Elephas maximus indicus: one gene and its partners. The protein of the gene in region 2 interacts with the protein of the main gene of each other region in a biochemical or structural test. Links are inferred from orthologs where the notes say so. Each region holds a gene or a part of one and is shown on either strand. Other genes may lie near its edges.

Region 1 (7,807 bases), on a different chromosome or scaffold from region 2:
GGAGCTTTGTTTTTCACCAATGCCTTCAGTGCAGCTTGGACTTCTTCCTTCGATACCATCGGTTCTTGATCACATCCTACCTCCTGAAATGGCTAAACACTGACCAATTCTTTTTGGTACAATGACTGTATATTCCTTCCATCTTCTTTTGGTGCTTCCTGTGTCGTTTAATATTTTCCCTGTAGAATCCTTCAGTATTGCAATTTGAGGCTTGAATTTTTTCTTCAGTTCTTTCGGCTTGAGAAATACTGAATATGTTCTTCCCTTTTGGCTTTCCACCTCCAGGTCTCTGCACATTTCATTATAATACTTTGTCTTCTTGAGCAGCCCTTTGAAATCTGTTCAGCTCTTTTACTTCATCATTTCTTCCTTTCACTTTTGCTACTCTGTTCCAAAACAAGTTTCAGAGTCTCTTCAGATACCCATTTTGATCTCTTCTTTCTTGCCTGTCTTTTTAATGATCTTTTGCTTTCTTCATAGATGAAGTCCTTGATGTTATGCCACACCTCGTCAGGTCTTTGGTCATTAGTATTCAATGCATCAAATCTCTCCTTGAGATGGTCTCTAAATTCAGATGGGAAATACTCAAGGTCCTACTTTGGCTTTCATGGACTTGTTTTCATTTTCTTCCTCTTCAACTGGAACTTGCATATGAGCAATTGATGTTTTGTTCCATGATTGGCCCAGACCTTGTTCTGACTGATGATATTGAGCTTCTCCACCTTCTCTTCCCACCGATATAGTCGATTTGATTCCTGTGTATTCCATCGGGCAATGTTCATGTGTATAGACATCTTTTATGTTGTTGACAAAAGGTATTTCCAATGCGTAAGTCATTGGTCTTGCAAAATTCTGCTATGTGATCTCCCGCATGGTTACTATCATCAAAGCTATATTTCCCAACTACCGATCCTACTTCTTTGTTTCTACAGTTTACATTCCAATAATCAGTAATTACCAATGCATCTTGATTGCATGTTTGATCAATTTCAGACTACAGAGGTTGGTAAAAAAAACTTCAATTTCTTCATCTTCGGCATTAGTGGCTGGTGAGTACATTTGAACAATAGTCTTATCAACTGGTCTTCCTTGTGGGAGTAGGGATATTATCCTATCACTGACAGCACTGTATTTCAGGACAGATCTTGGTATGTTCTTTTTGACTCTGAAGGTGACAGCATTCTTCATCTCTATATTAGTTGTAATTTATTAGGCAGTCAGAAGTTGGTTAGTATTTTTACCACACTTTTACTACATTGCTAACTTTGCTTAAGATTTCTCATTGCATATTTCCCTGTTAATAGTTATACTGGATGTCCTCAGGCAGAAAAACCAGTTCTCACAGCATACCTTTCTCTTAGATGTGCTACCTTTTGTTGTCTTGAGGTTTGCTTTGGGAGAGAGAAAATTATGAACCTAAAGTTAAGAAGCACGTAACAAGGCCTAGGAAAACTCTAGAGTGGGTGACAGTTGACACTCCTCACCACCATAAAATGGTGCCCTTGCAGACTGGGCCTAAGCCAGTAGTGGCCCAGCTATGTAAACAATCCAGGCCACTTAATGACCACAGGGAGCATTTGGAGTTCTCACCATTGTCTCTTGTCTTTGACTTATCCAGTCCATAATTTTGAGCATCCTAGAACTGCATTTCAGTCCTGACTGCTCAAACACAGTCAATTTTGCAACAGTAAAATGGTTTTAAAATAGGGTTTTACTCCAGAGGGAAGAATCCTCACCCAAGAATCACAGTGCACTTTGTATGATGAATTTAAGCCATTATATTACAAAATAAGGGATAAATCATATTTTTCACAACACTACCACATAGGAACAGTTGTAATTTTGAGAGTCAAGCATCTACATTAACCAGAGTCTAAAATAATAGACCCTCGATTTAAAATGTCCTCACATTCTTTCACACTTCATAAAGCTAAAAGTGAAATGGTCTCAGCAAACATTGACTTGTTGGTCCCACCAAAGTCCTGCTTTTCAAGGCAAAATTGGAACAAGAGATCTCTAAATCGCAAAGGGCCAACAGCTTACTGTGTGTAGCTGTTATTAGTCTTAATCGTGAGGTGGGGAAGAAGACACAGCGGTTTGCAGAGAATAAGAGATTTATTTCCCTTCTTAAATCAAACGCAGGTTCCATTCTCCAACTGCTCCCTAGCCCACTCGGGGCAATCGGGGTTGTTTACCATATTTTCGTGTATATTTTAGGTGAAGATGACAGGCGAGGGAAGGTTAAAGGGCTGTGACGAGTCCGCGGAGTAAACAGAGGGGTTCCAAACCGAAACCAAACCCATTGCCATTGAATTGATTCTGACTCTTACGGGTTAAGGAGGGCTTATTTATTTATAAGGCGTTCAGCCTCTCAGCTGTTTCTCCCTCGCTGGCATTGGAAAGCTCGCAGTTCTTTGGAGAAGAGCAAATTTGGCAGGAATGTTCTTTGTGCCCGCCTCCCTGTTTACAGGGGGGAAAAAGGAGCTGATTTAAAATTACAGCGCGGGGGGGGGGGGGCGGTGGAGAGAAAAAGTTTCCCCCGGCACCACAATGCCCCTTTTCCCCCTTGGTCAACACTGGGCCACCAACAAGCTTTTGGTGCCACCCGGAGCCCTCCCCCTCGTCCCCTCCCTTTCTCTCTGCAGGCTGGCTCTGGCAGGCGGAGGCACAGTTAAATTCCAGCACCTTCTCCACATAGTCCAAACTACTACGCACTATTACTGAGCTGCCCTTCTTTTCGCGGCGCCTCCTTCTCTCCTCCAGCCTCCCCAGAGGAGCCCGCGGCGTCCCGGGGGGAAGCCCTCCGGGGAAAGGACCGCGGGAGCCCAACTCCAGCAGGCTGGGGGCCGAGTGCGTCCTGCGCAGTGGATGTGCCCCAGGCACACGCGCGGCACTGAGCCGGCGCCTTGCAGACACACACTGTTCCACGCATACGGCCGAGCTGTCTCGAGCCACATTCTTGCACACCGCCCCTCCTCCCCCCCCGCTCGCCCGGAGTCGCTGAGCTGCGCGAGTGACAGGCTCGCCCGGCCAACCCGCGCCCGGGCGCGCAGGGAGGAACGGCGCGCGGGGCCAACAGCGGCGCGTCTTCCGGCGCCCGCGGAGGCGGCGAGGGTGGGACGCGGGGCGGAGCTCGAGTTTAGGAAGAGGAGGGGACGGCTGTCATCAATGAAGTCATATTCATAATCGAGTCCTCGCTCGCTGTTTCTGTACTCTGGGTGACTCAGAGAGGGAAGGGATTCAGCCAGCACACTCCGCGCGAGCAAGGTAAATATAACTTACAACTCCTTTCTCCGCGGTCCCCTCCCTTCGGCCTCCCAGCTGCCGCAGCCGCCGCGGAAACCCGCGGCCGCCGCCTGCGCCGGGGATTATGCATTATGATCCTAATGATTATTTATTGTGCATGCACGGAGACCAAAACAAACAGGCGGGCCGAGCGCCACAACAACAACAAAAAAAGCCCGCCTCCTCCCCGCGGGCCTCAGGTGGAATGCGCTAACAACAGCTCCCAGCGGCCGTGGAAGAAACGGGAAAGTTTCCACCGAGCTTGGCCTTGCTAATAATAACAGGGATCGCTACGACTGAAAGGGGGCAAGGAGAGACAACAAGCACCAAACCACAGCCTTGACCCTCGGGAGGAGGTGGCGATGCGCTGCCAAGTCAAGGTTGCAACACACAGACGCACACACACACACACACACACTCGGCAAGGTTGCAATGCCCCCAACCCCTTAAAAACCTGGAGAGAAGGAGGGTGGCAGGAGGATACGGGAGGAGGATGCAAACGCGACCATCCATCCCGAGCAGTCCTCCCGGGAGGAGTTGGAAGGGGCGCTGGAGGGCGAGGAGCTCGCGGGCGGCGGGGCGCCAGCGATCGCGGCTGCCACCCGCTCCCGGGGACTTGTTTAAAGGGCTCGGGCTGCAGGGACGTGAGAGAGCGGATAGCGGCGGGAGAGCCGGAGCTGGCGCGCCTGGGAGGCGACAGGCACTGCCGCCGGGCCGGTGCGTGCCGGATCGGAAGTGTCACCTCCACTTTCCTAGTTCCCTCGGGCGGGGATGGGGGCGCTGACTGGCGGGCAGGCCTGTGGGCACGGGGGCTAGCGGGGAGCTGCCTCCCGGGCGCTGCGGCAGTCCCTGCGCCCGGTTCCTGGGGACGGCGCGGGCTTGGGTGTTGAAGTTCAAGGTGTCCGGCTCGGGCCGCAACCTGGGAGGGAGGGAGGGAGGGAGAAGCCGGGAGAGGGAGGTCGGAGGTGCTCTCCGGGCTTGGTTTCATTGCCCTCCCCCTCCCTGGGTCTGTTTTCTTGTGCTTCAAGTCAGCCCCTTGCCAGCGCCGCGGGGAGCGCGGGCGTGGGGCGCCCGCGATCGTCCAGGTGCTGGGGGCACGCGGGGCCCGGGAGAGCCACAGCGGCTGCTGGCCGAGAGGCCATGATCCGGATAATCCTCTCTGCCTGACTGTCACAAACAGGACCCGCGCGCACCCGGGCAGCGGCGGTGGCGTTCGCCGGGTAAGGGGAAGGGCTGCGAGGGGAAGGATGGGGGGGTTGGCGAGGGCGGGAGGCGGGGAGACCGGGTGGGTGCCTCCTCCCAACGATGACACGCACCCCTTCCTCCTCGCTCCCTGCTTTCGAGTTTGCTTTATTCTCATCCCAACCGAGTATGCCCCTTCATCGGCTCTCCCTCGCCACCTGGCTGCCTGCCCTCCTCTCGTTGGCCTTGCAAAACACGGCCATGCCATCTGCAAAGGTGTCGCGATGCACTTCCCCAAAAAACCTGGCAGGCACGCCCGCCCCTTGGGGACCTCCGGCCGCAGGGCTCCCGCCAAGCCGGGTGCCCGGGGTGGACTGCACCGGGCCACGCAGCCCGGACGCGGTTGCCTGCGCGGGGCGGGCGCAGCAGTGCGGGCTCCGAGGACCCCTGAGCCCTGGCCCGGGCACTCGGGGCCGGTTTCCGGTGCGCGCGGGGAAATCGCCTACTGCCAGTGTCTGCGCGCTCGCCCCCGCCGCCTGGCTCGCCTTCTGATGGTGATCCGGTGGCCTTGCGCGGCGGCTGGTGGTGAGCACCCGGCTAGCCGGGCTGCCGGGGTGGGGCGGGGCGCCGGGAACTTGGCGGTGGATCAGGCTGGAAAAAAAAGTTTGGCAGGGCGGCCAAGTGCGGCGCAGGGCGGAGGGGCCGCGAGCCCCGCGGCCGGTGGGTACGCGCGAGAGTGTAAGTGTGTGCAGGGCTCGGGGAGCCGGCGCGGGCGGCAGCTCCGAGCCGGGGAGGCCCGAGAGGCGGGCGGGGGCCGGCGTGTGCGCGTGGCTGCGAGTGTGAGTGTGTGCGCGCGCGGGCGGCGAGAATCAGGAAGTCACCGCGGCGAAGCGCACAGACATGTTTGATCGCGGTGACATGACGCGCGCCCGGGAGGAAGCGGCGGGGGCCGGGCCCCGGGCGCGGGCCTAGCGCTCGCCACCGACCCCCGCGCCGGCCACCTAGGCGTCGCCCCCGCCGGCCCAGAGCCCCGCGCCGCTTTTTGTTCCGTGCCGCTAGGTAAGGAGCTTGAGCCGCCGCCGCCCGCTACGCGCGGAGCTCTCCGTCGCTTTCACTGCCGGCCCCCTCAGCTCTCCGGGCTGGCTCGCCTTTCCTGCAGAGTCAGGCCGGCGGGGTACACGGGCTGTCGGGGCTGCGATCGATGGCGTGGAAAACTTTCCAGCGGGAGGCTCCGGGGAGGGAGAAGCAGGCCTCGCCGACCACTGTCAGTCCCTCTTCCTTCAGTCTGGGGAGGAGTTCGAGTCGCTGCTCCCTGGGGCTGTTGCATGTTAAAACTTCGGGCCTAAATGCGCCTCAAACTCTCGCAGGATTTACTCCAGCCTTCAAATCAATGCTCAGAGCCGTCAAGTTGGCCTTGCCAGGCGTTTGGGGATTTTTTTTTTTTTTTTCCGGGAAGGAGGGAGGCGAGGGAGTGGGGGTGTTGTGCAGAATCCATTCCATCGTTAATGTCTGCACCGTGTGTTATGTAATTTTAGTAGCACATGGGTGCGGAGCCCACGCTGGGCTGCTCTTCTCCTTTGTTTATATAACTTTTGGGAGAGTTTTGCCAGGTTGTCGCCTTTTTCCCCCCTTCCCTAGCCTGGTGGAGGTTGGGGTTTTTGCAATAGCAAGCAGCCCGGGTTAGTGCTTCATGGAACGATGTCATTGCCCTCTGGTCATTATGGAGACACGTATTTCTGACTACTTACTGGAGGTGTAACGTCAGATCCAACGTGAAGAAATGAAAGATACACGTTTGCTGGTTTATTGCAGTGACTGGTTATTTTTAACATCTGTGTGCTACCAATTGCTGGGCTAAATTTTCAACTTCCATTTCAAAGCAGTTTTTTCTTACACCTGATTGTGTGCCTTGCTTGTATAAACAAAACGGATGTTGCTCGCCGGTTGAGTAGAAGAAAATTCTTGGCCAACTACCTAAGACTCAGAAAGGACTACCAAAATAGAGGCCATCTCCAATGTTATGTGTGCAAACATATTTATATACATATTCACATGTTTGCAGAAATATTTTCCATCAGTTGTTTTGCGGGGAGGGTATTGTAGGCTTGTTGGCCAACACTGGACTCCTAAGGCTTCCAGGCTAGGTCTTGCACTCTAGTGAAATGTTCAGAGGTGTGGCTGGTTGGAATCCCAGTTGGTGCACTGTTATGCAAATTGACACACACATTTTTTAGGAATCTAATTGCCTTTTTTGGAAACCCTGGTGGCATAATGGTTAAGTGCTATGGCTGCTAACCAAAGGGTCAGCAGTTCAAGTCTGCCAGGCACTCCTTGGAAATTCTATGGGGCAGTTCTAGTCTGTCCTATAGGGTCGCTATGAGTTGGAATTGACTCGATGGCACTGGGTTTGGTTTGGTTTTGGTTTAATTGCCTTTTTATTCTCCTGGACTTTTTTTTTTAGCTCCCCTATAATCTCTTAGATTCAAAAGATATTTATTGAAGTAGACTGAGAAATGCCCTGTGCATTAGAGATCTGTCTGCTTTGTTGGAGGCATGAAGGAGAGATGCCATATTACTAAAGACCATTTTAAAATGAACCAGGAGTTTGGGGTATGAGAACCCTGGAAGAACTGGCCCAGGAGAGGGAGAGCTTTCCTCCATGTGGCTGCCCCTCTCAGCAGCTGCGTCCAGCATCCGGACTGGCTGCACTGTGGTGTCTCAGAAAATATTCACCGCAACACTACGTTCAAAGCAGCCTTAGATCTTTTCTTTTGTTCATTTTTAAAGTGGTTTTTGAGCATTTCTTGTCAAGTTTCTTGAAAAGTGCTTTGACCAACACCCGAGGCCTGGCATTGCCAAAAAAATAAAAAATAAAAAGTGCCTCAGCTGGCATTATATTGTGAATGCTTGAATTCTGCTTAAAATATTATAACTAGAAAGTACTGCTGTGGCAGATAATGATTGTAGATGTTTTTTCTTTGATTAAGATAAGTCATTCTGCCGGTCAATATAAAAAAGGATGTCTCGTTTTTTTCCCCAGGAGAGTATCGTGATACCCCTCAGATTACTGGGATGTTTGGGCATTTCATTTTAAAGGCTTGTTATGGTGTTGTAACAAAACCATAAAAGAGAAGCGTTTCATAAATTATAAAAGTGGCGCTGTCCTCTGGTGTTTGCTGGTTTCTTTCTTTTTTTTCCTTTACAAGTCTTCCTTTGTAAACAAGGCCTTTGTTTGTCAAACTCTCCTAGGTCAGCAGCTTTTGGATACTCCAGAGAAATTTAAATCACTATTTATGACATCTTGACACATTGCCACGAGAAGGACTAAATTCTCACCAAT
Region 2 (7,742 bases):
AGACCAAGCTAACTATTCTAAGATCCTAACTGGGAGTGTTGGACAGAGGCTGAGAATGTGGTTCCTTTTCAGGAATTTAGGGTAATATATTCATGATAGTTGTTAAGATGATAACTATGGCAGTAGGAAAGGAAGACTGAGATTTAAACAGTAGTATATATTTATATAAAAAAAAGAATAAAAAGGCACAGTGTCCCCTCCCCCATTCCAGGCTCACTCTCTTCTACTCCTCCCCCACCTTAGAACCTGTCTGCCTCTCTAAGCCACAATATAGTTTGAAAGCCTCAGGACTGCGCAGATGTGCAACGGAGCAGAGGTCAGCCCCTTCATCTTGTGGGGTCTCTGTTTTACCTCCTTGACCTTTAATGACTACCTGTGTCCAGGAGCCAGTTGAAGTCCGAGTCTAACGTTCAGGACAGATACTAGACAGGAAATACCAATTTGGGACTTTGTCTACATAGAAGCAATGAGCATTGGTAGTGGGTGGGATCAGCCAAGACTGAGGAGGGCAAGATGAGAGGAGAGACCTGTGGGGGCCACCGACATTTAGAAGATGGGTAGAGGAAGAAAAGCCCCTCAGTGATACTGAGCAATAGGCAGAGGTAACCTGAGGCTAAGCCAGGCTGGCTTGTCACAGGCTGTTGAGAGGTGGGGAATGGTTGGGATGAATGAACAAGATTTGGAAAAACGGGTTCGCTAGCTGTCTTCCTGGGGCAGGGGCTGTCAGAAGGAGGAGGCACAAGTGGAAGGCAAAGTAGAAACTAGAGTGCTCTGACTGCCACTTCAACCAAAGCAAGCCCCACTTTTTGTCTCTTACATATTAGCCCTCCCAAGATTTCATTTGAACAAGGGCATCTGCCACTTAAAGAAAATAATTACCAAACAACTGATATACGAAGGAAACACTTTTAAAGCATAAATCCAGGTAACCTGGGGAAACAGACAGTTATATTGATTTTCCAGATTTGGGCTGGAAGCAACCCAGAGGGGTAAACTCACACTGAGGGGAAGGTACTTGAAGACACAGAATGGCAGTCTAACACCTACTCAAAATTCCCAAGCCTCCAAGGCCACCCAGGAATCAGAATATGGAATATAAACAACTTACTACACCACCTGGTTGCTAGAGAAATGGAGTTTCTTCACATAGTAGAGTTGTTTGGTCCTTTAGGCCAGCTCCTGGACTCACTGCTAGGACTCCAACTTCAGGGACTTTGCATTTGAATGACCAGGAGAAGAGGGGGTGAGGATGGGATGACGAAAAAAGTTGGAGAAGTCTTAACGAAATGCTAGGCATACTTTAATGTTACAACAGCCCACCGAAGTAGATATTCTTAGTTTACAGATAAAGATAAAGCCATCCAGCTGGGAAGTGGCTGAACCAGAATCCTGACCAATAGCTTGAGCTTCTCCCCTTGAAGCTATAGGGTGCTTGGGGTGGGGGTAGGGACCTAGCCTCCGATTCCAAAGTAAAGCCTCAAATGCTCCTCACATGGATATTCCCCAGCAGGCTGTGGCTGCCTTCTACAGCTGCCAGAGGTTCTGGCAGCAGGGCACTGCAGTGCAGGCTCTAAATTTCTCTAATCACCATAAGCACCCTAAAGAACTGTGAATGAGTTCTTTTTGTGAATGAGGGTGTTTGTGTGTGTGAGTTTTCTGTGAAATTGTGGATGTCAGAAGGTGTGATAGTTTTGAGTATGTGTATTGTGAGTTGACATATGATGTGTGTGACTGCAAGACAAATCTTGCTTCTTTGAGGAGGATAATTTTTTTGAAAAAGCTAGAAATGAACTCTCTGGGGACAAACTGCTGTTACATTTATGGAGGTGAGAAGTGTGGAGCAAGAGGGGAGACTTTTCTGTAGGGGTCCCAACCTGGAGCTCATCTCAGGCACCAGTGTGTACGGAGACAGCATGTGGGGACACAGCTCAGGCTTTGGGCATGGATAGACTTGGCTACTCAGGCTATGAGCCCGGATAGACTTGGCCACCTGACACGGGAAAGTCACTCTACTGCTCTGAGCCTCAGAGTTTACTCATCTGGAAAATAAGGTTAAGAATCCCTAACTCAAAAAACTTGTGGGATGTTTCACACAAAAGAGGCCTCCTGGGAATCAGAACCTGGCATCCCAACATGACTTCTCCAAGAAGGGCTCTCACCCAGGTATATTCACTGTTCTGTCATCACTGGCATGGAGAGGGGGATGTGGATGCAACCCTCAGTGTAGCTGGAGGGCCAGTGTCACCAAATCAACTATTCTCACAGAGGCTGGGGTTGGCTGTGCAGGCATCAGTGTACTGAGTCAGAAACAATCACTGGAGCCCTTCCAAGGTAACTCCTGAGGTCAGTTTAGGGGTGTTGAGGGGGGAGTCCGCAACAAGGTGGTACACTTAAAGCTGGGAGTGTCAGGGAAACCTGGTTCTCTGGGGTGGGGGGCAGCTGTTCTAGTTGCAAATGCTCTGTAAGTAATTTCATCCACAGCACACTACTTGCTTCCCAGGCTCAATCAAATGCTTGGGTCCTTGGTCTCCACAGAAGCACAGAAACTCAGGTGTATTAAAGAGCATTTTATCATCATATTTTATCCCCATAACAAGCCTGAGAACAGCAAGGCAAGGATTATAATGTTATCCTCTTTTACAAGAGGGGAGGCTGATCCACAGATAATAAGGGACTGAGTGGGGACCAGGGGGCTCAACTTCCAAGCTAGCGTCCTTACTGCTCTAGCACTCTGCTTCATCCCACACTGACTCGGTTGGTATCTGCTATGCCTTCCGTGAGGGCAGAGCCCCTTGGTAATACAGCAGGAATCTGAGATGGGGGCTCCAGACATCAGGGGGTCTCTGGTCTGAGAGTGAAGCTTGACCTCCATGGCCTGCCATTAAACACACAGTCCTCATCTCCTGGCCTTTCCCCTCAATGATCTCATCAGCGGAGACTCCTGGGGTGACCCACTACATTTCCCAAATCACCTTCCTACCTGCCCTTTCTCTTAGTGGAAGGATCCCCCGGACCCCAACACACACGCACCTGGGGCAGGTACATGAACTCAGAGGGAAGGGTTTTTAGAGGATGTCTTTCTACTCCAATTTCCACCCCTATTTCACAGGGGGAAAATGGGTCCAGAGGGAGAAAGGGATTTGCCTAAGGATATGTCACCAGTCACTGGCTTAGAACCCAGATGACCCAACCACTAGCCACAAATTCTTCATACACCTCCTCACACAGCATGCTACTGGTTACTTCCTTCCCTCCACTACCTACACTGAACCAGTCACCCGCTCCCCTTGAGTCTTTCTCAAAACACATCTCTCTCCTATTCCTTCCCCACTCTCATTGCCCCAGTCAGGTCCTCATTACAGCTCACCTGAACTATTGAGGCAGCCTCCTAAACAGCAGCAAGCCCCCATTTTGCCCACAGGCCTCTAAGGCCCATCATACTCTGCACATCCCACCTCATCCACACCAGTTTCCTTTCCTCACTGCCCCAATGCGGGTAGGGCTGCCTCAATTAACAGGTCTTTCTTGCTCACACATTTTGGACCTCGAACACAGGCTCAGTTCTATTAAGCACAGGCCTGTGGGGTGCCTCCTACTCCCCCCCACCAGAAATCCTTTTGGTTGGGAGTTATGACAAATTCGGCAAATGATGCAGGGAAGAATCTGTAGCGCTTTGACTCGAGCGCTACAATGTGCCTCTTGTACTTTCCAACCAGTCATTGCAACAGCCTAGGCACTCCTCACTCAGCCCACCCTCAGAACCCATCCAGCCGCTGGGATGCTGAGCATCTTAGACCAGAATTCTGGGCCTTTTTGTGTGGCCCTGTGACCACCCTGTTCAAACACATTCAGCTGTGTAGGTCCAAGCATTTTAACCAAATATTATAAGCCTTCCTCTGGTCCCATCTTTCCAACCTTAATTTTCATTAACTATCCCAGCTGCACTTGAAGGGCCTTAACAATGTTTCACACCTACCCCTTTGTGCCCTTTGCTGAAAAATGACTTGCCCTTCCATTTCTGCCTGGTGAAATCTCCTTCGAGACCCAACTTGAATGCCTCTATGAAACCTTTCCTAATTTTCCTTCAGCTGGAAGGAATCTCCCTTCCCTGAGCTCCTAGAGATGTCTATTTATGTACACATTCCTGCCTTGAGTTAGCTTTTTCTGTATCATCTTTTCGGCTGGACCGGGAGTCCCTGGACGGTGTGGAGTGAGCCTCTCATCCGGCCTCTGTGAACGGACCCAGCAGCAGGCGCGGTATTAACGTGTCTGCCTCACCCGAAGGTGCTCAGACAAGTGCCTGTTGTCCTGGACGCAGGGATTCCCACTTGCATCACTCACTTTTAGGCGATAACAGAGGGCACCGGACACGGTTAGGTCACAGCCAGATATTCCAGCCAGGCGCTAGGGTGCCCTTTCCCGCCTCTCCGTCCAGCTCTGAAGGGTGTGTATGTGTGTGTGTGAAGGAAGTGGGGGCCGCGCAGCCCAGCTCCCTCTTCCTCCGGGTCCACCTGCGGATCCTCAAGTCCCAGAAGGCCTCCCTCCGGCTCGAGGGCCTCAAACTCCAAGACTGAGAAGACAGGGACCTCTGCCACAGTTGTGCCGCCCACTCGCGGAGAGTTTATTTATATTTTTTTTGGAGGGAGGGGGCGTGCAATGAAGGGGAAGAGGCGGGGCAAGGAGAGAAGGCGGGCCCAGGATGACTGACGTTAGAAGCGGGGAGCCAATGGCCCGTGGGGGGCGTTCCCCCCCATTCAGGACTCCTCGCCTGGCTCGGAAGGTATGTTAAACAGCTGCTTTTAATTTGGTCCCCCCAATCTCCGGCGTTTGGGGGGCTAGTCCATGGCCGCTCGCTTTGGCCAGCCCGCGGCGGTGCGGGCGCCACGGGCCCCGGGACGGAGCCAGGGGGAGGCTCGGAGTCCGGCCGCTGAGGGAGGCGAGGGGCAGGCCAGGAAGGAGAGCTCTTGGCGCCGCCCGCTTGCCAGTGTGTTTCCAAGCCGGGCGGGAGCTGTGGGGAGGGGGCCGGCCCGGCCTGGGGTCGCCAGGGCGCCAGCCGTGCTCCCTAGTTTATTTCACCGAGCAGTCGGTTTCGGTAGGTTTCGGCGGCGGAATGGGCAAGGGGTAGGCAGAAGGAGATTCCCCGCTCCTGGAATGTCCCTCCCTTTTGAAAAAATTTGTAAAGAAAAATGGGGGATTCCGTACACCGACTGGAACCAGGCCCGGGCTGCGGCGCGCGGGATCGGCAGGGGGCGGCGGCCCGAGCCGGGTTGGCCGGGCCCACTGAGCTCGCGGTGCCTGGAGTTGGTCGAGAGCTGGAGTTAGCAAGCGAGCCGAGGCCCGCGGCTTTCCCCGCTAACCACGCTGCACGAAGGCGGCAGCCACCCCAGGGGTTTTGTTTCTGCCCGCAAACTTGTCGGAGGGGCCGGTGGGCGCGCCCCCGGGAGGCGCGGGCGCCGAGGGCCAGCGGTTGTTAGGGACTCTGGGGGCGGGGGCAACGCCGGACTTGCGAGAGGGGCGGCCGGCGGCGGGAGAGGCCACCGGAAAGAGTCCCCGCGCTTCGGCAACAGCCCCATGCGCCGGCCGGAGCTCTCCGAACTCCCGGGCTGTGGCGGTGGAGTCGGCATTCGGCGCCGGAACCCGCCAGGCCGCGAACCGGCGCTGAGCTCGGCCCGGGGGTCTGGAAAACCTCCAGGAACTCGGCGGTTCCGACCCGCAGCCCCAGCTGATCCCCTTGCAAACATGGAGCTCCCTCCTTTCCCTCCCACCCCGCGGCGGCGGCGGCGGCGGCGGGGCTGCTCCCTCCCCCTCCCCCGGCCGTGCCGCTGCCGGGCTCCCCCTTCCCGCGAGGTGCCGCTGCGGGCCGCTCGGCCTCGAATCGGGCGCGGGCGTATTTGCGCGCGCCCCCGAGGGGGTGGCCTGAAAGGGGCAGTGAAGGTCGGAAACAGGGAAAACAGACTCCACGCTTGGAATCGGGAAAAGGAAATGCATCAGCGGGCGGGGAGGGGCGCAGGGAGCGCGCCTGTCAGTCGGGATGGCGGCCTCCGGCAGGCTGCAAGCGGGGAAGCAGGCGCCGGCGCGAACTGCGGGGGTCGGGCGGGGACGCCGGCTGAGGAGGCAGAGGGGACCGGACCCCTGGAGCACCGGGATTGCCCCTGCCTCCACTCATTGGCCCAGCCTGTTTACTATACTCCGGCGGAGCCTTGTGCAACCGGCCAGGAGGGTAGCTGAGGGCGGGGCCGTCTCTTCCACCCACCTCGGGCTCCTCCAGAGGCTCCGCCTCCTCTTGTTTTCTACTGGCTGGGCGAGACTCCCTTTTTCTCTTCTTGGTTACCAATTGGGTGACATTCTCCCGAGCTCCGCCTATCGGGAGGCCGGGCCGGAGTTTAAGTTGCTAGGATTTTTTTCCTAGAAGGGCGGAGGGAGGATTCCTGCGGCTTACGTGAGGCGCAAGGTCCCGCCCCTATTTCTAATTGGTGAAATGAATAGTTCCGCCTCCTCCGGCGGAGCGAGCTGGGAGGAGGAAAAAGCCAACCACTCGTCCCTGCCCCCTCCCTTCGCTCGTGTGCGCGCTTCGCACATGTATGGGGCCCGCCCCGCTCCTTCGAACTGCCCTCCCGCCCGGAAGTCCTGAGCTCGGCGCCCTTGGCGTGGGGGGCGGGGGCGAGAGGGGGCGGGGGGGCGCGAGCAGAGCAGGCACACAAAGATCCCTCCAAGGATCGAAGTCTGCTGGCCTTCGTGGTCCAACTAGGGGATGACCGTGTGGAGTGGATTTTGAGGGATTCTGCAGGAGCTGAGAGGGTGAAATCTGCCCTTCCCGGCTGGGGCTGCGTATTAAAGTTCTGACCGCTGCCTGGCTATTCTCGCACACCGGCGGCCCCTGACTTCCAGGGGATTGCCATTAGCTTAAGCTAGAGATCGCTGCGCACGCTGGCAGTGTTTTTTCTTCACAGGGCAAGGTGGCTGGCGTTGTTGGCTGTCTCGGGTTCGCCTGGGAGTCTTAGGCATGACCCAGGACAGCTCATCTCCCTGTAGGGCAGTCCACTTTTGGCTCGGGTTCGGAGTGGTTCTCCGTGTCTAGGTGGGAGCGACTTACGGCATCCAGTCCTGGGAAGAGGGGCCGGTCCAGGGTTAAAGGCACCTCTTGATATGTTCTGCCAAAATGCCTTTTCTTTGTAACCTCAGAGACGTTTGGCCCGGGGGTTGCTTTCGTAGACCTGACTTATTTTTAGAGCTCCGTCTGGGGGCAAGGCTTCACTCCTGGCGAGGCTGCTCCCACCTGTCGTGGAGTTCACAATTCGCCGCCGTGGCACCGCGGCTCAGAACCATCCTGGGAGTCAGGCCCACCTGTTGCCAGAGCTCGTTTCTGGCCGTCTCCGCTGGATTGCGGGGGACAGGGTAGGAGGATCTAGGAGCAGATTCCCTGCGGCCTGCCACTTCGGGACCCACCCGCCTCTCTGTGGGGAGTAGCCTTTTTGCTGGAGTGAGCGGGAAGGCTCTAGTTCCGCCCCCTTTCCTGGTGCTGCGAGAGCGCCCCCAAAACCATGGCCAGCGTCAGTTCTTAACTCTTTTGGTGAATGAATAAAAGCAAGGTAGCTATCGCAAGCACTTTGTCTCCCTGTGTGTTCGAGGCACTATTACCTACACCGAAAGGGTCAGAAGATTGCTATTAACACACTTTAGCCGAGGAAGAAAACAACAATTGTTATCTTTTGCCCCCAACTGATTTTTATCCTATCTCAAGT
Region 3 (7,918 bases), on a different chromosome or scaffold from region 2:
CCCAAGGCCTCCCTGGACACTGCTTCCACCGACATTCTTCCCACCAAAACTCACCTGGGGCATATTCAGAAAGACTGGCCCTTCTGAATAGGATCTCCGCTCCTCCCCCTGAGAGGGGCGGGAGCCCAAGTCCAGGTTGTGGACCTGGGTCTTTACTTTCCCCCTTTCCCACTGAAAGGCCAGCAGTTAGGCTGTGGTGTGGTCCAGTGTGGTCTGCCTCGCCCACAGCGAGTTTCCAGGAAAGATGGGGGTGGAGAGAGAGAGGGTGAGAGGGAGGGAGAGAGAGTAATGGGGGTCAATGGTTGGGAATTACCTCATGCCCCTACCCACCAGTCCAAGGAACAGCCACTAGCTTTCTGCCTCCAACCTGCAGGTGTTTGGAGCCAATGGGGGTATCTTCTCCCCCCCCAAAAGAACCCTACACCTGACCAATCAGGAATAACTATTAAGTCCACGAACAACAAGCCCTCCCGGAAGGCTTCTTGGAACATTTTCAGACCCTCCAACCGGAATCCGTCCCTTTCAGAAAAGCAGTATGCTTTCTAAGCGCGACGTGTCTACGCGGTTGCCTCCGGAACCCGGCTGCAGCCACACAGAGAGGAGGTCATCCGGGACCCCGCGGATGGGTTGGGGGATGTGTATCAGAAAACGAGAATCAAGTCTTCAAACCCTGATCCACGGGGCAGAACCTCAGAGTGCCTCCATTCTCTCCTTGACCCCCACCTCTTATTTCCAGCCCAAAGCGAAACCAGAACCCAACTCCAGGGGCAGTCCTTTCCCGAAGGAATGGAGTCGCAGCGGCGTGAGCAGAAGGGGCGGGGGAGGGAAGGCAGTGTACCTGGTCCATTCAGGTCCGTTCCTTTCTTCCTACATGTTAAGAAAAAACCAGGGGTGCGGCAGGGAGGGAGAACAAGAAAAAGAAAAACAGGGATGGCGGGGAATTCCCACCTTCTCCTCCGTCCTCCGTCGTCCCTACGCAATGATTTTCGATTCTTTGGTGCTTGGGCATAGTAGGGGAGAATTCTAATAATTAGTTACAGCAATAAATAAGGCAAAATGGAGTGTAAAAACAAACCTGACACTGCTTCCGAGGGTGTAACGGGATTTAGTTTGCCCTCCCCACCAGGGTTTTGTTTAATTTGTTTTGCCTGAATCGTCCAGTTTATGATTATACATCGAAGTCTTGGATTATTTGCGGAGGCCTCTTTCTTTTTGCCCCGGGTTGGTGGAAATATAGGAATAATTCTTTCTTGCGGTTTCAATCCAATGCGGGAGATTGTCTTTCTCCTCTTTTAATCCAAATTGGGGTGGGGGAGGGCGGATCCTCTCACTCCCTGTTTGTTAGTTCAGGGTTAATTTTCGCTTTAAGGCTGAGCCTCGGTGTCAGTCCCTATCTCCATATTCTCTCCACCCCAAACCCAGCAACTTAAAAAACAGAGGGGAGGGAGGACGCCGCTTTGTTCTTCCTCCAAAGGAGCCAAAAGGAAAGGGACAAGCCGCCTCGCTCCTGGATGATCATTTTAATTAAAATAGGGTGTTAATGATAATGCTGATGATAATGACGACCCCAGCATTAGCAACAACAACTGGCAAAACAAAATCCTTTCTTCCCAAGCTTTGGCAGCACGGACCCGGACCTGGCAGGCGTCACGACGCAACGGGCACCCGTACCCACGCACGAAGGGCGCTCACCCGGGAAGGGGGTCGAAAAATGCCCCCCCGACCATTCTGAGGGTCCCCACCCGAGGCGCAAACCCTGAAGGATGCGCCCATTGTCCTTTTAGGGCCTCTTCCCCAGACCCCGGCGGCCGCACCCGCGAAACTGACCAGAAATGGGCGAAGCCGGTGTGCGACACGAGCAGAAACCCAAGGCTACCGGCTCGAAGGCGCCGGCCTCGGCTAGCGCAGCTCAGCTTCGAGCCTGGAAGAGCCTGCTGCTCTCCAAGGAGACCCCAAACACCAAGGTACAAACTGGCCTCTGGACAGAACAGCGGCCAACCAGGCTCCGTCCGCCCATCCACGCCACCACTGGCTCCCGAGTACATCATAATTTGGAATAAAATGTGAAATCCCGATCCCCGCCCCCACGCCGCCGTCCCACCAGCTTCTGGATCTCCCCCTCGCCCTCGCTTCCCTCCCCCACTCCAGCGATTGCAAAAGCACCTCTAAAGGACACAGGCACACAACCCAATGTGGCCAGGACCACACACGACTCAACCCAATAGAAGGAAAACAAAGTAAGCACAACCCAGCACTGATCCACAAACCGGTATGGTCAGGCCTACACACCGTCCAACCCGACACAACGAAATCGGTCAAACAATCGCTCATGGACACACAACCCAACCACACACGCCCGACACAGCAACGAAACCATCCAAATACAATGGCAAAGGCTACATAGCCCAACTTAGAGCAGAACACGCAAAACCCCACGCCTGTAGAAAAGGCTGATAAGAATAATCATATGCAACGAAGAAAACGCAAAGAACTCATTGAAGGGTCCCAGTCTACACACCCAAACAGCGCAGACACCATCACACTCTGATACACAACCTATTGCCAAGAAGACCTCACTCCAAAACAGTCAACATTGCCACAGCTCGCATCCACGCATTCTCACAATCCCACCGCATGCACACAACCACGAAGAAGAAATGAAAACCAACCACCGTCTCGCGCATTTCTGTATATTGCGTAAGGAAAAAGGGGAAGGAAGGAAGAGAGTCTTCGAGGCGGGAGGGGCGGCGGCGGCAAGGGCGGGGGCGTCGTGGAAAATGCGCCCCATCGAAAGAAACCGAGTGGAAAAGAGCGAAGACCTCTTCTGCGGGCGAGGGGCGGGGGGCGAGGGGGACGGAGGGAGGAAACTGAGGCAGAATTTCCTGGGAGGCCGCAGGTTGCCTTTTGCGTAGAAAAGGCCAGAATGCTCACATTTTGCCGGTTCGGGGGGGACGCGTGTGGCCATTTTGAGGCCTGGTCCTTAGCAGCCGAGGCCCGGCCCCCTCGCCCGCCCCCTCCCCGCCCGGCGCTGCGCGACACCCGGGCTCCTCTACCGACACGGTCTAATCCCGCTCACGTTCGAGGCCTCGTTAGCATGGGCCGAGGCGCGCCGGGGCCGTGTGCGCCGCAGAGATAAGGCACTGCCGCGGGTCCGCCCGCCCCCGATAAGCGCCTCGGCCATTATGGGCCAAATGATTCATTTTAATTTGGCAATTTCACCGGAGGGAGTAGGGACGGGTTGCGCGGCGCTGGAACCGGCTCCGGAATCCGCTACCGAGAGAGGGGCGCGCTGTCTAGGACCAGGCGGGTCCAGCCCCTATTTGTGATTCTGAGGCCTCTCGGGAGCTTTAGCTTCCCACGATCTCATTCCCTTGGCCTTCCAGACACTTTTCCTCAGCGACTTTCACTCCAGCATTCTGTCCCTGCCTCTGAACCATCCCCTCCTAAACCTCTCCCCAGTATTCATTCATTCTTTCTCCAGGGTCCAAAAATAAAAACACCCGTTGCCGTCGCTTCCATTTGACTCATAGAGACCCTAAAGGACAGAGTAAAACTACCCCATAGGATTTCCAAGGAGAGGCTGATGGATTTGAACTGCCGAACTTTTTGTTAGCAGCCTGAACTCTTAACCACTGCGCCACTGGGCTTTCTCCAGTGTCCTAGACACCCGGATTTCAATGGAAAGTTCCCCTTATCCTAGAAGGCTCCCCAGCTTCTCCCTGACTACTGCCCTTCAGCCTTGGTCCTGTTCTTGTCTAAAATGGAGCCTGCTTGGCCCTAATATCCTGGACTGAGCTCAAACCTAAAGGGCTCTCTGGGAGGGTGGGGAGGGGGTCAGAAAGTTTAAAGCCTGGGAACACCTCTCCCCATAATATTTGTAACAAACATTGCTACTGAAGCACTGTTCTAAGGACCCTACAAACATTAACTCAACTAAGTTTCATAAACAGTCCTATGAGGTTGTTGCTATTATTATCCTCAATTTACAGATGAAAAAACTGATGCACAGAGAGTAAAAGTAACTTTCTCAATGTTTCATAGCTAGTTAGTGGTGGTGCCTTGTTTAGAAGCAAGCCTGGTACCAGAGTCCTTTCTGGAATGCCACTGATGAGGAGCAGCAGCCAGACCCTAGACTTGGGTTCAACTCATTGAAGGAACCAAGATCTGAACTGTGGGCTAGGAATCTGAGTTCAGTGAGGGGTGGGTGCCTGGGGCTCAGCCTATGGAGGGTATCTGGATTCATTTTTTCATGGTGGAATGGAAAAGAGCACAAAAATCAAACCTTACAAGTCACTTAGCTCTGAACCTCAATTTCCTCATTCGAAAAATGGGGAGATAATGCCTACTTCCACAGAGTTGTAAGGATTAAATAAAATGGCCCTTAAAATGTGGTGGTGGGAGGTGGTAATCTATGGAACTTCACCCAAGGACTGAGACAACATCCTAGGCACTCGTACGGGAGTTCCAGTTATCATTTTTGAGAAGGAAGTTAGGCACAGAAAGAAGTGGCTTGGCCAAAGTCCTCCAGTGATGCAGAGGAAAAGCCAGGTACTGAACCCAGGTGTCCAACTCCCAGCCCCAAACTCTACCCACCATGCCAGGCTGCTTTACCCTTCCAGCATCTCTAGTTTTGAACCTATTTGGAGTCTGAGAACCGGGGAAAGCCCCTAGTCTGGGTACAGACTGAGTCCTAGTCAAGGATTGAGCTCATAGTCTGCCCCTAGCCTGAGCCCTCACCCCTCTAGTCATCAGTCTCTGAGAAGGCATGGTTGGGTCTACAATCTGTCCCCTCTGATTCTCATATGCTCTCTGACAGAAGTCAGGATGCCGTATGTATAACTTTCACAGAACTCCACAGGAGAAGGGCAGCCTGTGTCCTAGGAAAAACAGTCTAATTCCTGGACTTGCCAGGAGGCCTCAGCTGGCCCAATCACACCAGCTACTCAGCAGGGACACAGAGGAGGGGCCTCTATGGTCTATTCATCCCCATTTCCCACTCTCTCCTCCAAGGCTCCAGTCCTGGCTGCCTGAATACTCCCAAGTCAAATTGCACTTTGCTTCCATTGTGTCTTAGCTTCTACTGGTCCTCCTACCTTACTTCCCTCCTCCTCTCACATGCAAAGCCCATCCATCCTTCGAGACCCAACCTTTCTGCCACTTTCTCACTGAAACCTTGCATCTCCCCAGTTGGATTTGTTGTTTCACTGCTGTGGTCCCCATTGCCTTTGCTTGGCTGCATCACTCAGTAGGAAGAGTGGGAATCACATAATTCTCCATTTGAAGTCCGGCTCTGCCACCCTTGGGCTGTAGAACCATTGAGCAAGTCATTTCTCATCTCCGAGCCCCTGTAAAATGGGATCAACTGTTCGCGTATCAGAAAACCTGACTGGGGAATACTTCCCTGAGAACATGATGTCTGGACTGAGATCTAAGAGTGGGACTTGGGGTGGGAGGTGCGGGTGTAGATAAAGCAAAAAGAGCCTTCTAGGTGGGCTAAGGGACCAGCTGACCCGCAGGTTGAAGCAGAAGGGCTGTAGGTTCATGAGAGCAACAAAGGAGTCCGGTATGTCTGGAGGAAACCTGGGAGCCATTTTAAGGGTTTTTTGAACCATTTCGTTTGGTTGGTTTGAAGGTGCAGCATCCTATACAGAATCAGATTTGCATTTTCAAAGAGCTCTTTGGCCGCAGTGTGGAGAAGGGATGTGTGTGGGTGGGGAGGATGCAGGGAGGCCAGTGTGGAAGTCAATGTAGTGGTCCAGGGGAGGGGTATTGGAGCTTGAACTGGGGTGCTGCCAGAAGAGACGGTGCAGAGGACAGGTGTTTGGCATGAACACTGGGTTTGTAAGGATTTGGTTTGGGGGTGAGGGAGAGGGCAGACCCCTGGGTCTCCAGCTAGATGTAGGTGTTAGCCCTGGAGATGGGGGGTCTGCAGGTCAATAGCATAGGAAGGGATTATCCATTTGGTTTTGAACTTCTTGAGTTTAGATGTCTTTGAGACATCTACAGACCTTTGGATTACTTTTCCAGGCATTAAATGACCTGCCTGGCCCCTCCAAGCAGGGATCTACCAAGTAAAATATCGCCTAGGGTAATTAGTGTTAAATTGCTGAGTGATCTCTCACAGCAGGCGATGGAAACTGTGATGGGCAATAAAAAAACCAAACCCTGGCCCTCCAGATGATTCAGACTCATAGCGACTAAAGAAACTGCTAATTAGCACCCTGCCTCAAGCAGCTCCCAGTTCATGCACGCGACGCCCAGGGCAAGGCGCCCTATCTGCCCCCACCCCCACTCCTAGTGAGGCCTCTGCTTCCGAGGGCTGCCGTGAAGGAATCCTGGCAGGTTGGCAGGTGGAAAGGCCTTTGTCAGCCCTACCATCTGTCTGCGGGAGGCGGAGAAAGTGGCCTTCACCACCCCCACCTCCAACACATACGCACCCGTGAAGCTCCAGATCCTAACACCGCCTGGCAGCGGCCCCTGACTTCGTCCCCCAAACCCTCCCCTGGTGCGGGGGGCTCTGACGTCTACACTCTCCCCCCTCCCTCATTTCCGACAGTCGGCAGAAAAAACGGAAACTGCGCACCAAGCGGGGCGCCGCCCGAAATAGCATCTGGTGCCTGTCGGTCAGCGCGTTGTCCGAATATCCCTGAGCGAGTGACGTGGTCCGGGGCCCCGCCAGGAAATGCCACCCCTCCTCCACCCGCCCCCAACTGGGCCTTAGTCGGGCAGGAAACCCGGAGCGCCTGGGGCGGGAGTGGCAAGGGGGGAGGGGAGGCTGGGACCCAGACTGGTAAGTCTGGAGTCTGGTCCTGGAGCGGCCAGAACCAGGAAGGCCAAGAGAACAGCCCAGCTAGGCTTTGGGCCTGAGGCCGTGGTCGCCATTCTCCAGCCTGCCCAGCGCCCTCTCCTGCTCCAGCAAGACTGGGTTCTCCTAAACTTCCAATCCAAGGCTTTTGACATGTTTCAAGTATTTTTGCCTACCCTGCCTCTAGGTATTAGACCATCTCAGGACTGCTGGTGGCATAGTGGTTAAGTGCTACAGCTGCTAACCAAGAGATGGGCAGTTCGAATCCGCCAGGCCCTCCTTGGAAACTCTATGGGGCAGTTCCAGTCTGTCCTTCCTATAGGGTCACTATGAGTCGGAATCGACTCGACAGCAGTGGGTTTTTGGGTTTTTTCTGATCTTTTGCCCTGAACTTGTCCTCTGGGGGGATGTGATGTGTGTTCACTCTGATGGGCAGCAAGGTTTATCCTCAATAAATGTATAGGGCAGTTACTAGGTCCCTGGAGGGCACAAACGGTTTGCACTGGACTAATAACCTGAAGGTTGATGGGTGGATCCCACCCAGCAACACCTTGGATGAAAGACCTGGAGATCTGCAGACCTGGTGATTGGCTTCCATAAAGTTGGTTGGTGTTGTTAGGGGCCATCCAGTCAGTTCTGACTCATTGTGACCGTATGTACAACAAAATGAAACACTGCCTGGTCCTGCAGCCATCCTCACAATCGTTATTATGCTTGACCCCATTGTTGCAGCCACTGTATCAATCCATTTCATTGAGGGTCTTCCTCTTTTCCAATGACCCTCTACTAAGCATGATGTCCTTCTCCAGGGACTGGTCCCTCCTGATAACATGTCCAAAGTATGTGAGATGAAGTCTCTCGTGGTCCATGCTTCCAGAGATTACAGCTAAGAAAACCCTGTGGAGTAGTTCTACCTTATAACATATGGTGTTAGCATGAATCTGAATTGACTCCATGGCAACAGGTATGTGCCAGGTACTGTCCTAAGTACTTTATAAATATAGATTCAGTTAATCCTTACAACAGCCCAATAAGGCAGGGACTATTATTATCTGCGTTTTGTAGGTACCCAACTGAGGCACAGACAGGTTGAGCAACTTGTGAAGAAGACCC
Region 4 (7,769 bases), on a different chromosome or scaffold from region 2:
GGACTGTCCCTCCCAAGGGCCCTAGGGCTAGGATTCTGCAGACAGCAGGTGCCTAATTATGACCCCTCATTCTGTCTTTCCCCAGGCCTGCCCAGCCCCAAGTTGCAGCATCGGTAATGCATCCCGGGCCAACTCTGTCATGTCCCAGGCCCCTATTCCCCAGGGCCACCCACGGCAGTGGACACCACCAGGCCTGGCCTTCCTCTCCCAGGGGGCTGGACAAACCAACACACCTACATTTAAAAGAAGCCGTGGTGGTACCGCAGCTGGGGGAAAGATGCTAAATAAATGGAGATTTATTTTTTTAAGCACGTAACATCGAAACCCGTCGCCATGGAGTCGATTCCAACTTAGCGACCCTATATGACAGACCAGAATTGCCACGTAGAGTTTCCAAGGAGCCACTGGTGGATTCGAACTCCCAACCTTTTGGTTAGCAGCTGAGCTCTTAACCTATGCACCACCAAGGCTCCATAATGTCCAAAGCCCTCTGGAGACTGAGTCACAGGGCCTTCACAAAGAGGCCGTTCTTCAGGAGCTGTGCCATCCTGACCCAGCATCACTACTATAAATGGGCTCGGGAAGCAACGAGAGAACAAGACAATCAAGGCCCCCAAGGATCTGCAAGGGGGTGCACCCTGACCTCCCCTACTCTGTGGAGGCAGCACGTGGCTTGACCCCAAACATCCACACCTCCTCTGGGGTACCCTGAACTCTGCTCTGCAGGCTGCAGTCTTGCCCTCTCCAGTTGTGCCATGGAATCCTTTTTCTTCACTAGCTTAGAGGCCACCGCCACCATCATGTGGAGCCCACAAACACTGAAGGGTCCCGAGAAGCCTTAGCCACACCCCTTGGGTGCCTGGGTGGGAGGTGGCCTGGCCACCCAATGTGATCTTTTTTTCTGCCCCTCTCTTTATCTTCCTCCACCCACAGAAGCCTTTCCACCTTCGAAGACCCCCAAATGCTCCTCTAGCAGAGATACTGGGACTCCACTGCCTTGAAGAGGAGTACCACCCAGGGGCCACTCAGCTGGGAGGTGGAGGGGCCTGGAAGAAACCAGGAATCCATACAAAATCCTGTTCTGGCACCCTGGGTCCCAGTCTATGGCTCCAAGCAGTTGGGTGAGACCTCAGGGAAAGGTGGGAACCATGCCCTACTCTGTGACCAGCTTCTCCTCTCCTCCCTCCTGGCTCTCCAGCCCCCACCGTCTAGCCCCTCAGTGTAGCTCCCCACGTCCAAAGACAGACTCAGTTCCTGTGCACATCAGTCCAGATCCTCACTTCGTCTTTAGGCGGCAAGTCTCCAGCCATAAGCGGGCCGTGGACTGAGCCAAGTAACCTCCACATCTACCCTGAAATGCAGTAGAAAGACAACCTCGAGCCCTTTTTACAAACGACAAAACTGAGGCCTGGGGTCATCCCACACAAGATCAGAGCTTGCCCCGGGTCCCCAGCCCTGCTTTCTTTCCTCTCCTGCGCCTCCAATACCAAGCCCAGACTGGCCACCGGAGAGCACATTCCCCGTCCCCAGGCCAAGCTCCGAGTGTGGAAGAAGCCCTCAGGGTAGTGAGGGTGGGACCCACGGAGGGGGCAGAGCGAGGGAGTGAGCCACAGCCGGAGAGAATGACCACCCAAGACGGTAGGAAAGGACCCGCACATTCAGCAGGAAAAGGGGTAGTCCACAGGGAAACTGGTGGGGTGACCAGGACTCGCCAGGCTCCAAGCACTCGCTGCACCCCAGGCGGGGCTATGCTGTGATACGCTCTAGGGTGGCTTGGGCACCTCCCCGCAGCCGCGCGCACCTTCCCAGTTCCCTCCCCAGATGATTCTCCTCCCCAGGTGGTGGGAAAGTGCGCTAAGGTTACTTGGTGAGGACTAGAGCCCTCTAGGGTTCCCCTCTCAAGTCCTCATCTTCCCCTGACTAAACCCCCCCACCCGTGCACCCAACTCCGCCCTCCGCCTCGCTGAACCTCAGAGCCATAGAGAAAACGTGCCGCGTCCCCCCTGGCCCCACGCCAGACGCCTCACCGCCCTCCGGGCCGAGTGCGCGCGGCCACCCGAAGCGGCGACGCGACTCCGCCCTCTTTACAGATAAGAAGACTGAGGCTGGGGAAAGGCAGGGCCTTGCTCGGCCTCGGTGGGCTCCATCCACCGCGCCCACCCCCAAGGCTGGACGGCTGGGGGGCCAACCGGGGCACGTCCCGCCGCAGCCCCCAGGCCCTCGGGCCCGGTGAGCGCCGACCCGCGGCGGCCGCCATCCGCGCGCCCGAACCGCGTGGCCACCACGCCCCCCGCGCGCGCCCCACCCACCGAGGCACCGCCCTCCGCCTTCCCTCCTCCCGCCCGGCGCGGCGGCGGCAGCGGCGGCTCGGGCGCGCCCCCCTCCCCGCCCCCCGCGCGCCACGCAGTTTCGGGGTCCCGGCGGGGGGAGGGGGCGCCCCGAGCCCGGCTCACCTGTGTGCGTCCGCAGGTGCGACTTAAGGTGCGACGACTTGTAGTAGGCTTTGGCGCAGCCCGGGAACGGGCAGCGGTGGCTCTTGGCGGCGGCGGGCGCGGCGCCGGGGGCGCGAACCGAGGACGGGGACGAGGCGGCGGAGGACGAGGAGGCAGGCGAGGCAGCCCCCGAGGCGGCGCCGGACCCGCCGCGCAGGTCGGCCAGGATGCTGGCGGCCAGCAGGTGGGGCGTGGCGGGCGCGGGGCCGGGGGCGGCGGGCGGCGGCGGCGCCGGGGGCCCAGGCGGGCCGGGCTCGCGCCGCGCCGCGCGCACCTCCAGGCCGGCGGTGGGGCCGGCGCCCTCGGGGCCCGGTCGCCCACGGTGCACCACGGCGCCCGAGGAGATGGCCATGAGCACGTCAGCGGCGAAGTAGTCCACGCACGCCACGGCCGCCGACATGCCGGAGGGCGCGCCGCGCGGAAGGCAGCAGGAGGCGGAGCGGCCCGGCCGGCGGCGGCGGCTGCTGCTGCGAGTGCGGGAGGCGGAGGAGGAGGCCCGGCGCGCGCCGCCGCCGCCGCCGCCCGCGCTCGCCGCCCCGCCCCGCCTGACGCGCCCTGACGCACCGGAGCCCGCGGGGGCGGTGGCCCGCCCCGCCCGGAGGACGCCCCCTCGGGGCGCGAGGCCCCGCCCCCGAGCCGGCCCGGCGCCCCGCCCCCGGCGCGCCCCGCCCCCCGGCGCGCCCCGCCCCGCCCCTGAGCGCGCCCTCCCCACGCCGGCGGCGGCCGCCCGGAGCCCGCCCCTTCCCGGCGCGCCCCGCCCCCGGCACGCCCCTCCCCCGGGGCGCGCCCCTCCAGCACGAGCGCGCCCCGCCCCCTTTGCGGCGCGCCCCGCCTCCTCGCGGAAGCGCCCTCCCCACGCCGCGCGCGCGGCCGGCAGGAGCCCGCCTCCTCCCCGGACGCGCCCCCGGCCCCAGAACGCGCTCCGGGCGCGCCCCCGCCCCGGTGGAGGAGGGAGGGCTGCGCTCCCCACGTGGTCGAGGTGGGGGTGCGGGAGCAGCCGGCCCCGCCCCCCGGCCACGTGCGCGACCCTTCCCCCTCTCCGCTAGGCCGGCCTCGGGACCTGCCCTGACCGCGCCCCCAGCCCCGCGCTCCTTTCTCTGCGGGTGCCCCTCGCCCACCCTGGAGCCCCGGGGGCCTCCCCGATCTGGGCAGCGGAGCGCCCCGCGTCTGAGTCCGGGAGAGGTGGGGCCTTTCGCTCCCCTCGGGTGACTGGAGCCTGCCTTCCTCTTTTTTGCACCCCGTTCCGGGGTTACTCGTGCGTGTCCCACAGGGGGCGGGGAGGACCAGGGCCCCCCTAGAGGGCCGGGGGTCAGAGAGGGGAGCCGGGCGAGGCCGCAAAGGAAGGGGCGGGGTAGGGCAGCCTGTCCGGGACAGTGGATCCCGGCCACCAGGGTCGGGGCCATCTCCTCCCTGCCAGGGCATGGATTTTGCGGGGCTTGGACGGGGAAACTGAGGCCCCGAAGCCGCCGAGGGCGTCCAGGCCAAGTTGTTTTATAGCGGCGAGGACACCGAGGGCGCAGATGACTGCCTCCGCCCCAAAACCCCGCAGACCCCGATGGAGCGGCCCTTCTGCCGCGACCACGTCCCCGCCCTTCCCCGACCCAGCCCTGCAGGGCCTGGAGTGGCCTCCAAGGGGAGAGCCGCTTCGGCCTCTCGGGCCTCCCTGCTGGTCACCTCTGCCAGCTCCGGGACCCGCCCTAGCCTGGGTGTGGGCAGCCGCCGTGACCTTGGCCCCGGCCTTATTCTCCCCACAGGCAACCCCAGCACAGCCTTCCCCTCGCCGGGCCGTACCCCCCGTGTGCCCAGCACACGTGGCTGCACTGAGGGGGGAGGGGAAGAGGCGGGGCGCCGCGAGGGGCAACCTGTGCAGAGACAGGTGAAGCCAGGTGCAGGCTGCTTCGCGAAGGAAAGAAGCCCACCGTGGACCACGCGGTCGGCGTTCCTGCCGGCCGGGTCCCTGTGCCTTCGGGTTTAGGAGGGTGGGCCCTCTGGGAAGGTCACCGAGCCCCCTCCGTCTCAGCAGCCCTCGGAGGCCACTGACACCCCCCCCGCCCCCCGCAGAAAGTCCGTGGTCAATGCTCCCTTGCCCCACCACCCAGCCCAAGGAGGTGCATCGTGGCACCCAGCACACAGAGCCACGTCGGTGCTCGTGCGGCTACCCAGACCCCGAACAAAGCGAGAAATGGGACGGGGCACGGCCACAATGCGGCTCGTTCCTTCCGGTTCCCCCGAGGTTTATTGTGCCTGAGACAGAGAAACCTCCCGGTCCGGCTCTGCCCTGGTGAGGCTCACGCTGCGGGGAGGGGAGGGTAGGAGGCAGACTGGTCAGTCCACCGCACAGGTGAGCGTGTACACGCCAGCCCAGGTGAGCTGGGGGGAACGGGCTGCGGAGACACTCCCTCAGCCCAGGCAAGGCCTCAGGGATGCGCAGGGGGCGCGCTGGCGGGCTTATGCGCGCGGCTGATGTACGAGAACACCCAAGGCCCTTGGGGAACGGGGGGCAAGGTTAGGGGCACGCCAGAGAATGGGGCTGCCGAGAGATCAGGGTCAGCCTTCTGTGTCCACCTCCTTCCTGGGGATAATTAGGGCCTTGAACCTGTAGCCTCTACCTGTGGGCACGCCAACTGCTTTGCAGGCAGGCGCCTCCATAGGGAGGACGCACAAAACCTCAACCCACCCAGGGAGGGGGGCCTGGGGACTCCTGGCCGCCTGCTTGGCTCCTGGCCCCCAGGGCCGAGGAGGGTTTTATAACCAGGTGGAGCCACCCCACCCCAACGTGGCGCCGCCCAGGTGCCTCCCCTATCGGTGCTCAGCTCTGCGGTGTGTTTTGTCCTGTCTGCACCATGGTCTTTATCCCCATTCCACAGATGGAGAAATCAAGGCGGGCAGAGGTCCAGGGAAGGGTTTACTTGTGCTCACAGCTACCAGGCAGCGGCTGAGCTCTGGAGAAATACAAATGGAAGCTGGCTGAGCATAAATCCCTGTCTGGCAGATCTTTAAGCCTCAGTTTCCTTATCTTTAAATAACCAAAAAAAAGCCAAACCCAGTGCCATCGAGTTGATTCCGACTCATAGTGATCCTACAGGGCAGAGCAGAACTGCCCCATAGAGTTTCCAAGGAATGCCTGGTGGATTCCAACTGCAAACCCTTTGGTTAGCAGGCATAGCATTTAACCACTACACCACCAGGGCGCAGTGGTTAAGAGCTCAGCCGCTAACCAAAAAGGTCAGCAGTTCAAATCTACCAGCTGCTCCTTGGAAACCCTATGAGGCAGGTTCACCCTCTCTTACAATGTGGCTATGAGTCGGAGTGGACTCCGACTGTATCGGGTATCTTTAAATAGGTCCCTGTAAGTCCGTCATCTGTAAACCCATCCCTGACACCATCCTAGGGGTTCAGGGAAAGAGCAGCCTGGTGTCACTGGAGGGGGACGGGGCAGGAAGAACATGGGGGAGAGATCTCTGTTAGGAATACCAGTAGTCCAGACCCTGCACCCTTACCTGAAGGTGGGCAGGAGAGCACAGAGCCTCCTGTGGTACAGGTGAGGAAAATGTTACATAAATCGGGGCACAAGGACACCCCGAAATGAGTGCATCCATAAAGAAGATGGTCAAGGTAGGTTAGGGTCAAAGACAAGGATACCATGTTGTTGTTAGCGACCTCATGTGAGAGTAGAACTGCCTGTAGGGTTTCCTAGGTTGTGATCTTTATGGAAGCACATCACCGGGCCTTTCTCCCACGAAACAGCTGGTGGGTTAGAACCTCCAACCTTTTGGTTAGCAGCCAAGCGCTTAACCATTGCACCATCAGGGATCCTAAGGGTACCATAAACCAAAAAACCAAACCCATTGCCGTTGAGTCTATTCCAACTCCTAGCAGCTCTATATGACAGAGTAGACCTGCCCCATAGGGTTTCCAAGGAGTGGCTGGTAGATTCAAACTGCCAACCTTTTGGTTAGTAGCCTGAGCTCTTAGCCACTGCGCCACCAAGGAAACCGTAGAGGAGAATATATATACAAGCTAGAATAGCTGTTAATGATCCTTTTTTTTAAAAGATGGTGAGATCTTTGCTTTTTGTTTTATAGCTTTCTGTACTACTCAACTTTTTTTTAGCTGCTGGGTGGGTTCGAACTGCCGACCTTTTGGTTAGCAGCTGAGTGCCTACCCACTGCGCCACCAGGGCTTCTCAGCAGGTACCCAGGCGGTGAGATCATGGGCCACTTTTCTTTTTTTTATGCTTAATTGTAGAGTTATTTTCTGAATTAATTTTTAAGTGACCATCTCCCCATGAGTGTGGGCTGGGCCTAGTAGTGCCTGGCTTTGAAAGAATGGAGCAGAGAGGGGAAGATAGTAACTTTACCTCAGGGAAACCTGGCGGCCCTACCATCACCAGGTTAACCCAGGTTAACATCCCTGGTGGTCACGTGCTGGCAGGGAGCCCCAACAGGATGTGACTGGGGTACTTCACTTCTGTGTGTGTGTGTATCATCACTTCTGAGGACGTTTGGGGGCTTGGAGGCAGCCCCACACAATGCGGACACTGACCAGGACCCACTGATTTGCCACCTGCCTGCCATCGGAGGCATTTGAGGGTGCACCCCCCAACCTCTGTGTTGGTCCTACTTGCGGACAAGATACAGGAGCCTCGTCCATCCAGGAGCAGGTGCTCTGGGAGAATGTTAGACTTTGGTGTAGAGCCTTTTTAAAGATTGTCTGTTCTACATTCTCCTCCACAACGTGTCTGCCTTTATTCTCAGTCTGATGTGTTCGTACCATGATGCTTAGGGGGACAGAAGGCTCAGTGTAGGACCAAGGATGCAGGCCGGGCCGTGGGAGATGGGCACCTGGCTGTCCCTGTCCTCTGCTTCCAAGCACATGTGGAAAGCTGCCAGCACTGAGGGGAAACACCTTTGGGGGTTCGCAGCCCCCTGTGTGGCCAGGGGACAGGGTCTGGTCCTTTCTCGGGTGGAGGCAGCAGGGGGCCGGACCTATGGGAGTCTCACGCTTCCTTTCACTTCCTGATTCCTTCCTAAACCCCTTAAAAAATAATAATCTATTTTGTTTTTTTTGTTGCTGAGAATATACACAGCGGAACATAACACCAATTCAACAATTTCTACATGTATAAATTCAGTGACGTGGATTACATCCTTCGAGGTGTGCAGCCATGGTCAACCTCCTTTTCTGAGGTGTTCCTCCCCCATTAACATAAACTCACTGCCACCTAAGCTTCTCATCTAACCTTTCGAGTTGCTGCTGTCAATTTGATCCCTTATA

What was found.
Region 1: the proteins of SIN3A (region 2) and SMARCA2 form a complex in vitro, tested with the Homo sapiens proteins (2 studies listed by BioGRID). The link is inferred for Elephas maximus indicus from reciprocal best matches to the Homo sapiens genes SIN3A and SMARCA2.
Region 3: the proteins of SIN3A (region 2) and TAL1 form a complex in vitro, tested with the Homo sapiens proteins (2 studies listed by BioGRID). The link is inferred for Elephas maximus indicus from reciprocal best matches to the Homo sapiens genes SIN3A and TAL1.
Region 4: the proteins of SIN3A (region 2) and KLF16 form a complex in vitro, tested with the Homo sapiens proteins (2 studies listed by BioGRID). The link is inferred for Elephas maximus indicus from reciprocal best matches to the Homo sapiens genes SIN3A and KLF16.

Annotation. Positions count from the first base shown.
Region 1 is NC_064827.1:8,528,335-8,536,141, reverse strand, and holds the start of SMARCA2 (probable global transcription activator SNF2L2), read left to right. Parts: upstream 1-4,806; 5' UTR 4,807-5,018; coding exon 5,019-5,187; exon of another isoform or gene 5,188-5,205; intron 5,206-5,240; exon of another isoform or gene 5,241-5,526; intron 5,527-7,807. UniProt on the Homo sapiens protein: ATPase involved in transcriptional activation and repression of select genes by chromatin remodeling (alteration of DNA-nucleosome topology).
Region 2 is NC_064831.1:65,381,134-65,388,875, reverse strand, and holds the start of SIN3A (paired amphipathic helix protein Sin3a), read left to right. Parts: upstream 1-4,742; 5' UTR 4,743-4,780; intron 4,781-7,722; exon of another isoform or gene 7,723-7,742. UniProt on the Homo sapiens protein: Acts as a transcriptional repressor. Corepressor for REST. Interacts with MXI1 to repress MYC responsive genes and antagonize MYC oncogenic activities. Also interacts with MXD1-MAX heterodimers to repress transcription by tethering SIN3A to DNA.
Region 3 is NC_064821.1:89,888,885-89,896,802, forward strand, and holds the start of TAL1 (T-cell acute lymphocytic leukemia protein 1), read right to left. Parts: upstream 3,002-7,918; 5' UTR 2,934-3,001; coding exon 2,932-2,933; intron 2,072-2,931; exon of another isoform or gene 55-2,071; intron 1-54. UniProt on the Homo sapiens protein: Implicated in the genesis of hemopoietic malignancies. It may play an important role in hemopoietic differentiation. Serves as a positive regulator of erythroid differentiation.
Region 4 is NC_064821.1:1,608,470-1,616,238, forward strand, and holds the start of KLF16 (Krueppel-like factor 16), read right to left. Parts: upstream 3,002-7,769; 5' UTR 2,893-3,001; coding exon 2,454-2,892; intron 1-2,453. UniProt on the Homo sapiens protein: Transcription factor that binds GC and GT boxes and displaces Sp1 and Sp3 from these sequences. Modulates dopaminergic transmission in the brain.